Linked DNA regions of Nothobranchius furzeri. The protein of the gene in region 3 binds, or shares a complex with, the protein of the main gene of each other region. Links are inferred from orthologs where the notes say so. Each region holds a gene or a part of one and is shown on either strand. Other genes may lie near its edges.

Region 1 (2,553 bases), on a different chromosome or scaffold from region 3:
GCTGCAGCCCTATAAACGATATGAGGCAGAAACGATATAAAACTGGGTAATGATACATTTTTGGCTCTACCGCGATAACACGTGAAGCCACTAAGATGTGCACCTGCGCCGACATTGGAACAACAGAATGGCAGTGACCGCAAGCACGTAGCGGGAGGAGGAGCAGCATTCTACACTTTTTGGACGTCTTTATTCTGCTGCAATACATTTTCCATATGAGGATTTTTTTAAAGCATGTCATTTTGACATATATAAACAAAGGAAAAAATATATTGCAGTATATATCGTAATAGCACATGCTTCAGATATATCGCAATATAGATTTGAGGCCATATTGCCTAGCCCTACGCGTAAGCATCGCATAACGTCCACGAAGCCTAATACGAAGCAATTAACCGCCGTTAGAGTCGGCGTTTCCCCTGGTTGAGAAGCGTCACATGTTGGATGCATCCCATAAGCGTAGTGACACGTCGCTCTGCTAAATTTAACACAAATGCAGCGTAGAAAAACCTGAAACTTTCAAAATAAAAGACACGTGGCTTTCCCGTTGATCAACTAGTAAAAATGTATACGTCATTATCTGAGAAACGTCCACAGCCGAGGCGAACGGAACACAAACCAGACCTTTTACGATGCACGCCGCCAACTTCCTCCTTGCTTGCTATCGGCTGAACTGCTGAAATCGCGCGTGGTCTTGTGATTTTCTGGTGATTTTGTGACCTTGCTGAACCAGCTGTGCGGTACGTGTGTGCTGCCGTTTGTGTCTGAGACACCCAGCGCTGCTGAGCTGGCAGGTAAAGCGCATCTACTACGTCACACGCCGCTTACGCATCCAGTGGAAAGGCCGGGTAAGAGTTGCTCCGTGTTGAGGCCGGAACAGAGCCGCGCAGATGTAAAGTAGCAGCTGGAGCCTCTTCCTTGGAGCCGCCCACTGGAGCATGTAAATATTAAACTTTATCCTGATGTGTATCAATATCGGCTGATATGGAAATACGGCTGATAGGAATCTTCCCAAACGGCCCAGCCCTGTGTAAGTGTAGTAAGATTTTAAAGCTTCACCATAATATTCCTGACCTGTTGAAATCGAAAAGAGTAAGCTGTAAACAGTTTGAAGTGTAAAGGATACTGTAGGTGATGTTCAAGACGTATCTCCCGCTGGGTAGAGTAGAGGTGCTGCTCTGGTTCTTGTGGATGATGCGGTAGAGCTTCCGGAAGGTGGGCAGAGCAGCCGTGCGCATCCACACGATGAAGTCTTCGTTGATAAACCCGTTGTTATCAGGATCGGACGGGTCCAGCTCATACACCGGCTTCCTCCAGTTCACCGGCTTGGCGGTGCCTGCGAGGGAAAGCTACTCAGGTCACCTCCAGCGATTACACCTCTACAGACGCTCGGTTTGAAAAGCTCACCTTTGAAAGCCGTAGGTAGGTCGACCCCAGCGGGATTCCTGAACTTCACGTTCCTGTCCGTCCACCAGGCGATCCCTTTCTTCGCCAGAGGGACTGCATTTAGGGCGCCGCTGGGTTCTACGTAATACAGCTCCAGAGAGTCTGAAACAGCAAACGGAGCTTTTTAATTAGAACACAAATCTGCAGGTTTAAGCAAAACTTCTACAGAACGTTTCAATCGACAGCAGATCCCGGCTCACCGTTGAAAAGGCTGTTAGCGATGGCTCCACACGGTGCAATGGTCTCCACTCCAATCTTACGGTAAGGCTCACAATCGTTGCTGGGATCCTGAGAAAAGGGAAATGTTTACCATACCATACCATGTTTATTTATACAGCACATTTAAAAACAGCATGACAGCTGACCAACAGGCAGTACAGTAAAAAGAACAAACCCCGAGATAAAAACAGATAAAAGTCATATAGGAGTTAAGAGGTAAAATCTAAAAGTTGTGAAAGAAACAAACAACAATAAAATACCGAGTCACAATAAAACATAAAAACACTAAAAGCTTGATCATTGAATAAAAGCTAAATGATAGAAGAAGGCCTTCAGTACCGACTTAAACCGACCCAGTTCTGGGGCCTGTCGAACACTACGGGGGAGAACGTTCCAGAGTCTAGGAGCAGCGAACGCAAAGACCCGCAGTTTAGAAAAGTCTACAGACATTATTCCGGACTCTACCTGATGAACACGATTAGAACCGTACCTTTAAAGCAGTCGCATCACCGTTCAACTGTCTGTCGTCTCTGGACTTCACATAGCGCCTGTGGTTCTGGTAGAAGTTGGACAAGCCGTAGTACATGTAGACGTTGTTCTGCAGGCGAGGGAGGAGCGCAAACGCAGATTAGAAAGGAGGAAACAGTTTCATGTGTTACACTCACTGAATTTATGTTTATGTGTTTAGCAGACGCTTTTGTCCAAAGCGACTTACAAGTGATAATCGGCATGTTGCCCTTGAGGCTAACAACAACAACAACAACAACTTGACATCAATCATGGAGAGTAGGGAACAAAGGAGTGGACGGTAGAGGGGGGACGGGTGCAGGCAGGGTGCTGGTTTAGAAGATGCTCTCTGAAGAGCAGGGTCTTCAGGAGTTTCTTGAA
Region 2 (3,945 bases), on a different chromosome or scaffold from region 3:
GGTTACTACAGGGAGAAGTCATAAAGCTAAACAAGGCATAACTCATCAGCACTTCCTATACATTCTTTCAAAATAAAACTAACCTCTGAAAAATTACTTCAATTTTAACTTGGAGTTAACAGCATAGTGAGTCGAAATAACGGGAAAGCCAGAGCTACTAAAACTCAAAAAATCTTAATTATCTGTGTTAAAGATTAAATCAACGACCACTTGTACAGCCACCTGTTTGCTATAAGCTACTGTGAAATAATGATCATCAGTGAAACGTAAAATTTAAGTACACAAAAATAAGTTTTTTCAAATTTTATAAATTTCTTTGATATGTTTTAATCCTAATTAATTAAGGAAAAGGGAAAATTAAGTCTGCTTTATCCCCCACCCAACCCACATATCCCAGATGATGTTCAAAACCTTGGCGCTGTCTGATCATTTAAGGATGAGTTAATTCAGAATGTCTTCAATTTACAAACTTAGGAGAAAACTCAAACGGAATCAGAAAATACAGAGTAAAGATCGTCCACTTTCAAAATCACACCTTTGACCAAGTTTCCAGAATTCACCAACAGAAATGAAACAATAGCTTTGATGTTTAATTCAAGAAATATCTACATCATAAAGTAAAAACTCAAATTTCAAACATTAAAATGCTTTAAATAAACACAAACCGTATCCCTGAGTTGGAATTTGCATATTTACAAAATGTACAGAAAGTTACAATTAAAAGGTAACAGTCTGACCAGCGTCAATGGCTTCATATGTAAAATATGGCTTTAACTTGATTGACCTTTCAAAGTCATTCCATGTAAATGGACAAAAATTTTAAAAACAAAAATTCCCCAACTTTACTGTTATTTTTACACTTTTCTAAGACATACGGCAGACAAGTTGAATAATATAGATGTCGTAAAAGCTCCAGTGGTAAAATACGCACAATAAAATGAATGCCTAGCTTATTCAGATCAGTACCTAAGACAATATGTGTGAGCACCAACCTAATCCTCTTTATGAAAGAAAGAAAAAAAAAAGACTGGGAATCCTCTAATAACACCCATCCCTAAACAAACACTCAGTTGTCTTCAGGGAACTTGAACTTCGCGTAGACGATGAGCATAACTACGGACATGACGACACACAGGGATCCAATCACAAGGTAGGCGATGCCCAGGAACTCGTTCTTTCCACCCATCCAACTGACATTGCTGAACACCACCTTCTTTTTCCCACCAAAACCATTCACAGGATAGTCTGAGGGACAAATGTTAAGGCTTTGCAAAGACCACTAAAGCATGGATTGTGTAAACATTCTTTTACCGTCCCATTTACTCCTATCTCACAGATCAAAGCTTTTTCATAAGTATGGATACCTAATCCTCAGGAACCCATGAAATTAAGTGTGGGGTTCCCCAAGGACCGATTTTAGGCCCAACACTTTTTAAGCTACATGCTGCCACTTGGAGACATCACCAGGAGACAAGGTATTGATTTTCACAGCTATGCTGATGACACACAGCTTCACATTGCAGTGTCCCCTGATGACATCAAACCAGTAAATTTACTTTTAAACTGTATTTTAGATATAAAGTCATGGATGACAAAACTTTTTACAGCTCAACCCGGACAAAACTGAAGTTTTAATCGTCGGTCCTGCAAACAAGCGAGAGATCCTTTTTGCAGAACTACACAATTTCAAACCTTCTCACTGAGTGAGAAATCTGGGTGCCCTCTTTGACTCTGAGCTTAATTTTATTCCATATACCAAAACTATAACCAAAATAGGATTTTATCACCTAAAAATATTAGCCTGGCTTGCCAGACTCCTCTGTTTAATTCTTTCTCTGTGCAGAATTCAACAGAGGAAGAATCTAGCAGGTCAGGCTATAAAAACATAACCAGAGTCCGCCCATTTCTCTCTCTCTCGCCAGCAGAGGTGTTAATACATGCTTATATTTTAAGTAGATTTGATTATTGTGATGCCCTGCTCTCTGGTCAACCCCAAAAGAGTATTTGGAACTTACACTTACTCCAGAATTCAGCAGCACGTGTGCTGACCAGGACCAGAGGGCAGGAACATTTTACACCCATTTTAAAATCGCTGCATTGGCTTCCTGTACATTTTAGGATTGATTTTAAGGTTCTTTTCTTAGTTTATAAATGTCTCCATGGTCTTGGACCTTCCCATTTAGCCGACCTTTTAAATTATGAACCCGTGTTCCCTGAGGTCCTCCAGTACTGGCATTTCAGTCAAACCAAAAGGTAGAACCAAAACTTACAGCGAAGCATCATTTTCCCACTATATGGCCCTCGTCTGTGGAACAGTCTGCCGGAGAGCCTCGGAGCTGCTGCAAGTACTTATGTTTTTTTAAAAGAGGTTCAAGACCTACCTTTTGAACTTAGCTTTTCATTGATATATTTGAACAATTTTTAGCTCATTTTTTCACAGCATTTTTTTACCTTTAACTTTTCAACTTTAACAAACTTGATTGTGCTGCCTGGTGTGCAGTGAAGGGGGCGAGGGTTAAGGTGTGTGCAAGGAGTTTGAACTGGCTGTGGAATTTTGATGCGTTTTTTTTTTTACATAAAGCACTTTGTGCTGATTATTATGAAAAGTGCTCTACAAATAAAATTTGATTTGATTTTATATTAAAACTAAACCTTTGTGCATTCACAAACTGGTATTGTAGCAAATATTATTTAACTTGCACAACGTGCAAAATGCACAGACAAATGATCTTTCTATAAGCACTTTTAGATCCTTCTGTTAAATATATCAAAATATCTAGTCAAAAGTGCAAAGCTTAAAAATGCAGTCGAGTCTCATTTACATAGTTTCTTTCTGGGTAGATGAAGACCATCATTTGCTTATCTTGTTTTCCTATGACAGAAGATTTGCATGTCTTGCTGCTCCTGTAAAAGCTCCTAAGTCGTTGTGTTCAAATCATTTAAAAGACTGAACCAACCTAACCAGTCACACGAGCCGAGGCTGCTCTGTGGCTGGACCGTGAAGCCTCATTCATGAAACTCTTAGAGCTTTGGTATTCATCTGACCCAATAGTTTAGGGATGAAGCTGATCATTTCTATTTACAGGTACAATAAGTAAGAATTTACAGTGAAATAATCACAAAACAGCAATTAAAATCAAAGTCCCATTAGTTGCAACACACACCGATGTGTGTGCAAAATTTGTTCTCCACATTTGACCCATCCCCTGGGGGGGGCGGTGAGCTGCAGACACAATCGTGCTCGGGAACCATTTGGTGGTTTAACCCCCCCCAAAGCTGAGTGTAAATCAAGGAGGCATTGGGTCGACCCGACCAGGACTTGAACCCTGATCTCCCAGTCTCAGGGTGGACACTACCACTAGACCACTGAGCTAATGTCTCAATCATGCTGGAAGGAAAGTTACTTTAGCAGATTTCAATCTCAGAAAGCTGGAGGGGTTGTCCGATTTTCTCTTTTTAAAAAGGCCAAAGAGGGACACTGTCTTTGTTTACCATCTGTAAGCCCGCTGGGTTCCCAAGGCTGCACCGAGCTAACGCTGCAGCGCTGGCATCAACAGCCACCATCATCTACAGCGCCGCCATTGCCCCCTCAAAAACATAAGGAAAGCCGAAGATATCTAGCCGGCAGACACGGAGCAGCTTGAAGAATACCTCGTGGGAAAACTAAAAAATATCAAAGCTTTATTCACCCGTGAGTGGAGGAGTAAAAAGATAACACAGCAAGCGTTTTACTCGAGGATGAAAATGATGGGAAACGTGGGTTTAGATGTGGCGAGTGTATGAAGAGGAGGATGAGGGACAAATTTTATCTGCGTTAAGTCTCTCAAATACAAAAACACAATATAAACACAGTAGTACTGGATACATGACAGGATACCCCAGAACAGCGCTACGCCCTCTGTTGTCCTGGCAGGGAATTGCTTGGCAACGCTCTCCGGGAGACGG
Region 3 (4,250 bases):
CGTCACAGCGCAGCGACGAGTACTGTCCGAATTCCATGAATACTCATTCTCACGTCCTCAAATGCGTCCTTGCTCCGCCCACATTTCGAGGATGGGTCTGTTGTATCCTCACAGAACAAGGCTATCCCAGCATGCTTTGCGCGCCGGCAGTGGATTTTCAACAGGCAGAGAAAATGGGGAGAGCTACGAAGTTTTAAAAGTAAGTTTGTTAAGAGCTAGCCATAGAAACCTTAAAAGCTTAAAGCGGTTCAGTTTATAGATATTTTTCGTTTGTATATTTTTTTTTATTACATTTTAGGCAGAAATCAGCCAGAACGAGTTTGTATCGCGAGTCCCAGTTATTCCCGTGTGTGTGTGTGTGTGTGGCGAATTAAACTTGTCATTTGTTTTAAGGACTAATTTTGTGGTTATTTGATAGTTTTAAATTTTAGGGTTGGGTTAAGCAATAATGAAACATGGGATTTCCTCCAATTCTGACTCCAGATGTAGACAAATTAACTCCTCCAGGCTTTTGTGGTTGTTTTTATTACCTGATCAGTAATAAATGTTACCATTGTCAACAAAACCAGTCATTAATCAGAAAACCCTGATTTAAAAAAAACAAGTTAAACTGCTAAATGTGCCCTTGGCTTTTATTAACAACCACACGACAAAACCACATCATAGGAAGAAACTGTTACTGAGCAGCAGTTCTGACCTACAGGACTGGTACCAGTCTGGTTGGGACCGGTAACGGGACCATCGGATCAGTAATAGTCATATCAGATAGATCCGTGACAGTCGGATTAAGAGTTTAACGTTCCGTCCCAATTTTCTGTATAAAGGCCTGAATATGTTTAACGCGGTAATTCAGAACACGAACACAGATTTTTTTTGAAAACAAACAAAGAAATTATAAGACGGGGCTCCTGTACCAACAAACTCATAACACCACCAAGGCTTCACCCACAGGAGTTAGAAGCATCTGGATACACGTTAAATCTAAAACGTATAGATGGTAAATAAAAAAAAACATTTTTATTTGTTTTATAGGAATTTAAAACAAATCTGAGAAGAAAACCAATAATGGGGAAAAAAAGTTCCTAAAAAAATCTTTTAAAAAAGGACAAAAGTTAATCCAATCAGTGATTTCATACAATGTCTAACCAAAAACAGTGATTTTGCTCAAACACCTCACACAGCCTGGTTCACCAATATCCCACCACTAATCCGAGTAAAGCAGAAGGTATTCTGACAGTTTAGCCTTATTTCAGTTTTAATCTGAAGGAAAGGGAAGATAAAACCCAGATGTCAAAATTAATGTAATTGGACATGATTTCTAAAATGTGTTAAAACGTCGTTCTAAGTGCCGAGAAGAGGTGAGGCTCGATCTGTTTAGAGATTTAAATGACGTTTCACGTCAGTCGTACCGGTGTGGAACAGAACTGGCTCAATAAAAGAGACGCATTTAAAAGGAAAATCCTGAGTTAAGGAACATTGTGGTCTTGCTGGAGCTGCATGACCTCTGACCCCCGGTGACGGCGGTGGTTTCTTCGGTGAGTTTTTCTGTTAGAGTTCGTGCATAAATGGTGAAACTGGAGCTTCACCGGTCAGAGGCACTTCAATGTTCAAACGCTAGAATAAAAACCAAGTTGGAGCTGTTCAGCGACTCCACAGAAATTAAGTCGCTCCCAGATGTTTACAGCTCCTCCAGCTGTGGCTCCGCTCACATGGCTTGGGCATCTCTGCGAGAATGCTCTCTGGTGCCGTCCTGGGGACCTCCGCGGGCCTGAGGACGCCGTCGAATGCTCCGCCCAGTGGAGATGAGGTTGGCATAGCCGGGGGTGTGAGAGAAGGCGTACGCCGAGCGACGCGAAGGCCGATCCCTCTGGAACGCTGGCCTTTTCCTTCTCGCCTCTTCTTCCTCACTCCTCTTCAGGTCTTCTTCGTACTTCTTCCTGTTTTTCTGCACCTGGAAGAGGATGGGAAAAGTTTGTCTTTAAGAGCAGAAAATCACCTCCAAGTTCAGCATTGGGTCTTATTTAGTCTTCTCTGTCGGGACCTTTTAAAAACAGACTTCCTCCAAAAGGCCAAAATATATTCCTGCAACTAAAACTTCATGAAGGTGGTGCATTCAGTTGGTTTCTCTGGAGTATACAGGTGTGTGTTAACATAAGAAAAGGCACAAGAGCAGCAGCTTTCCCTATTATCCATCATAATTTATGCTCCACTTATTCTCCAGGATCATTCCAAAGCCTGCACCACTTTTGGCCGTTCCAATTTCATTTTCCTGCTCCAAACGACCGGAATGAGCTGCAAAAACCACTAAACTCTTCTAAATCTCACATCTGCCCTCAACTCGACACGATCAGTAACACCAAAGAGCTTCTGACTGCCTTCAGACGTCCAGATTACTCAGATGAAAGTCTGAGTGACGACGGCCTTTATGAGGTCCCGCTGTAACAGCTTTGCCGTCATATTTCTTGGCCGTAAATGACAACGATTCTCCGTCGACTCACCTGGTTAAATAAATCTGTGGCTTTCTGTCAATCTGGAAGGGTCAAAGGTCGTCTCTAAATGTGTTTGGAGACTATTATTCTACAGAGACACAAGGGGGAAAATATCCAAGACAGTCCCTGATCTAGGAGTGGAGGTTTCCTTGAGGTCAGAGGTCAATGCTCAGAATTCCATTAAAAAGGTCAAAGGTTACAGTAGCTTAGAGCAGATTTAGGGCGTTCCTCAATGTCGAGGAACAAATTCCCAGAATACAGCGCGGTATTTTCAAAAGGAAGCTGGCAGCTACTTTGGGAGCCCAGTATAGATGCAAGTCTGCTAACTGTGGCCATCAGGCTGAAATCTGAAACGTTAGCTATGGTTGGTTAGTTGCATCTTTGGTGGCTATCAGGTAGTAACTCACTTACATCTTTAATGTATTTTTAACAGTAAAAGGCTTGCTATACATTTATATCGAAACTTACACGTATAAAATATAACGTTGCCTCACGTGTCATGTGACGTGTAGGCCGCGGTCACATGATGCAGTTCTGTTTCGTTTAACCCTTTTCTTTGACCGAGGAAGGACGGTGTTCTCGTAAGCAAGGCGCCTGGCCTCGCCAGACATCGCCTCGCGAGGCCAGGGGGCTTGACATTGAGAAGCACCCCAACAGTTGTGTCCCGAACGAGAGAGCTTTACCCGTGATGCACTGTAGCACAAACCGCTGATCCCAGCAGCCTGGTTTGGGCCGGTTCTGATCTTTCAGCACTTCAGAGAGCTGAAAAGGACTCCACAAGGCTAAACGTGGACGTTGTTGGTCTCACCTTGTCTCCTACTGAAGGCCAGATGGTTTTGTAGAGGAACTGGATGCAGATGACGGGCAGCAGACTCATGCCCACCGTCAGGATGATGGTTAACCACAGGTATGGCTGACGCAGGGCATTGGGCGCCGCGCCTAAAGACACAAACATGGTTACAAGATGACACTTCGTTTTCAGCTCATCTCCACCTTTCAGCATCCTCCCCACTGACTGACCTGTGAAGGTGAAAATCGAGGGGAAGATGACATGAATCCCTGCGCTGTGGATGTCGAACATGATCCCAAAGTAGATGGCGATGCTACCCAGAACGGCAAAGCAGTTGACGAAGGTCCAGTATGACGTGTCCAGAGAGATCTGCCCAACAAGACCGTTGGGTTTTAGTCCCGTCAGTTTTCTGTCACAAGTTCTGGTCTGAACGTTTGACCATCAGACTGATGTAGAAACCGATTTAACACTAAATCATGAAAAACACCTGTTTGAAATTACGTAAAAAATCCCTTTTAACTCCAAATCTTCCTCCATTATGATGTTTTAAGATTGTTTAGCAAACTGAAAAACATTAAATAAGCTCGTCGACTCCTGAAGCAGCGATGGTTCGGACCAGGTGACTCACCTGCAGGTTGACTGTGAAAATCAGAGATGAGGCGGTTACCACGGCAAAGGACTGCAGGTCTGACGGAGCTTCTCCATCCTGCCCCATCGTCTGCAGGAACGCTCCGTAAGGAATGAAGAAGATGATGAGAGAGACAAAGATTCCATGGAACAAACTGATGAAGAAGTTCTTGTAGTTGAACATCGTCTCCTGCTGGCCAGGGAGGTAGAGTTTAGGAAACTTCAGACTCAGTCTGTCGTTCACGTCCTGCAGGAGGAGGAGGAAGGAAACAACACATTTATTTTTATGTTTTTATTTTTAACATACAAAAGATTTTCTGGTTTCAGTTTGGGTTTCAGTAAAA

What was found.
Region 1: the proteins of atp8b1 (region 3) and cell cycle control protein 50A are in contact, whole or in part, in a cryo-EM structure (PDB 7VGI), measured with the Homo sapiens proteins. The link is inferred for Nothobranchius furzeri from reciprocal best matches to the Homo sapiens genes ATP8B1 and TMEM30A. Residues at the interface, in NP_001361314.1 of Homo sapiens: Thr138, His359, Trp362, Glu363, Val366, Ser369, Ser370, Trp371, Tyr372, Leu373, Tyr374, Asp375, Gly376, Arg384, Ile388, Phe418, Asn420, Trp421, Asp422, Leu423, Tyr426, Lys430, Asp431, Thr432, Pro433, His939, Trp942, Arg946, Tyr968, Phe971; in NP_060717.1 of Homo sapiens: Lys24, Thr25, Arg26, Arg27, Pro28, Asn30, Phe33, Lys34, Gln35, Gln36, Arg37, Leu38, Pro39, Ala40, Trp41, Gln42, Pro43, Ile44, Leu45, Thr46, Ala47, Val50, Phe54, Ile57, Phe61, Ile64, Ile68, Ile75, Phe119, Tyr121.
Region 2: the proteins of atp8b1 (region 3) and tmem30b are in contact, whole or in part, in a cryo-EM structure (PDB 7VGH), measured with the Homo sapiens proteins. The link is inferred for Nothobranchius furzeri from reciprocal best matches to the Homo sapiens genes ATP8B1 and TMEM30B. Residues at the interface, in NP_001361314.1 of Homo sapiens: Trp362, Val366, Ser369, Ser370, Trp371, Tyr372, Leu373, Tyr374, Asp375, Gly376, Phe418, Trp421, Asp422, Leu423, Tyr426, Asp431, Pro433, His939, Trp942, Arg946, Tyr968, Phe971, Asn972, Gly973, Ser975, Ala976, Gln977, Leu1003, Gln1005, Phe1049; in NP_001017970.1 of Homo sapiens: Gly9, Ala10, His11, Gln12, Pro13, Asn15, Phe18, Thr19, Gln20, Gln21, Arg22, Leu23, Pro24, Ala25, Trp26, Gln27, Pro28, Leu30, Ser31, Ala32, Ala35, Leu38, Phe39, Phe46, Leu49, Leu53, Tyr109, Tyr111, Asn116, Phe117.

The regions. Positions count from the first base shown.
Region 1 is NC_091758.1:36,702,333-36,704,885, reverse strand, and holds part of cell cycle control protein 50A, read right to left. Parts: intron 2,264-2,553; coding exon 2,156-2,263; intron 1,735-2,155; coding exon 1,647-1,734; intron 1,549-1,646; coding exon 1,408-1,548; intron 1,337-1,407; coding exon 1,127-1,336; intron 1-1,126. UniProt on the Homo sapiens protein: Accessory component of a P4-ATPase flippase complex which catalyzes the hydrolysis of ATP coupled to the transport of aminophospholipids from the outer to the inner leaflet of various membranes and ensures the maintenance of asymmetric distribution of phospholipids.
Region 2 is NC_091758.1:27,091,688-27,095,632, forward strand, and holds the end of tmem30b (cell cycle control protein 50B), read right to left. Parts: intron 1,246-3,945; coding exon 1,067-1,245; 3' UTR 570-1,066; downstream 1-569. UniProt on the Homo sapiens protein: Accessory component of a P4-ATPase flippase complex which catalyzes the hydrolysis of ATP coupled to the transport of aminophospholipids from the outer to the inner leaflet of various membranes and ensures the maintenance of asymmetric distribution of phospholipids.
Region 3 is NC_091746.1:72,924,440-72,928,689, forward strand, and holds the end of atp8b1 (phospholipid-transporting ATPase IC), read right to left. Parts: intron 4,154-4,250; coding exon 3,908-4,153; intron 3,649-3,907; coding exon 3,510-3,648; intron 3,429-3,509; coding exon 3,298-3,428; intron 1,952-3,297; coding exon 1,706-1,951; 3' UTR 612-1,705; downstream 1-611. UniProt on the Homo sapiens protein: Catalytic component of a P4-ATPase flippase complex which catalyzes the hydrolysis of ATP coupled to the transport of phospholipids, in particular phosphatidylcholines (PC), from the outer to the inner leaflet of the plasma membrane.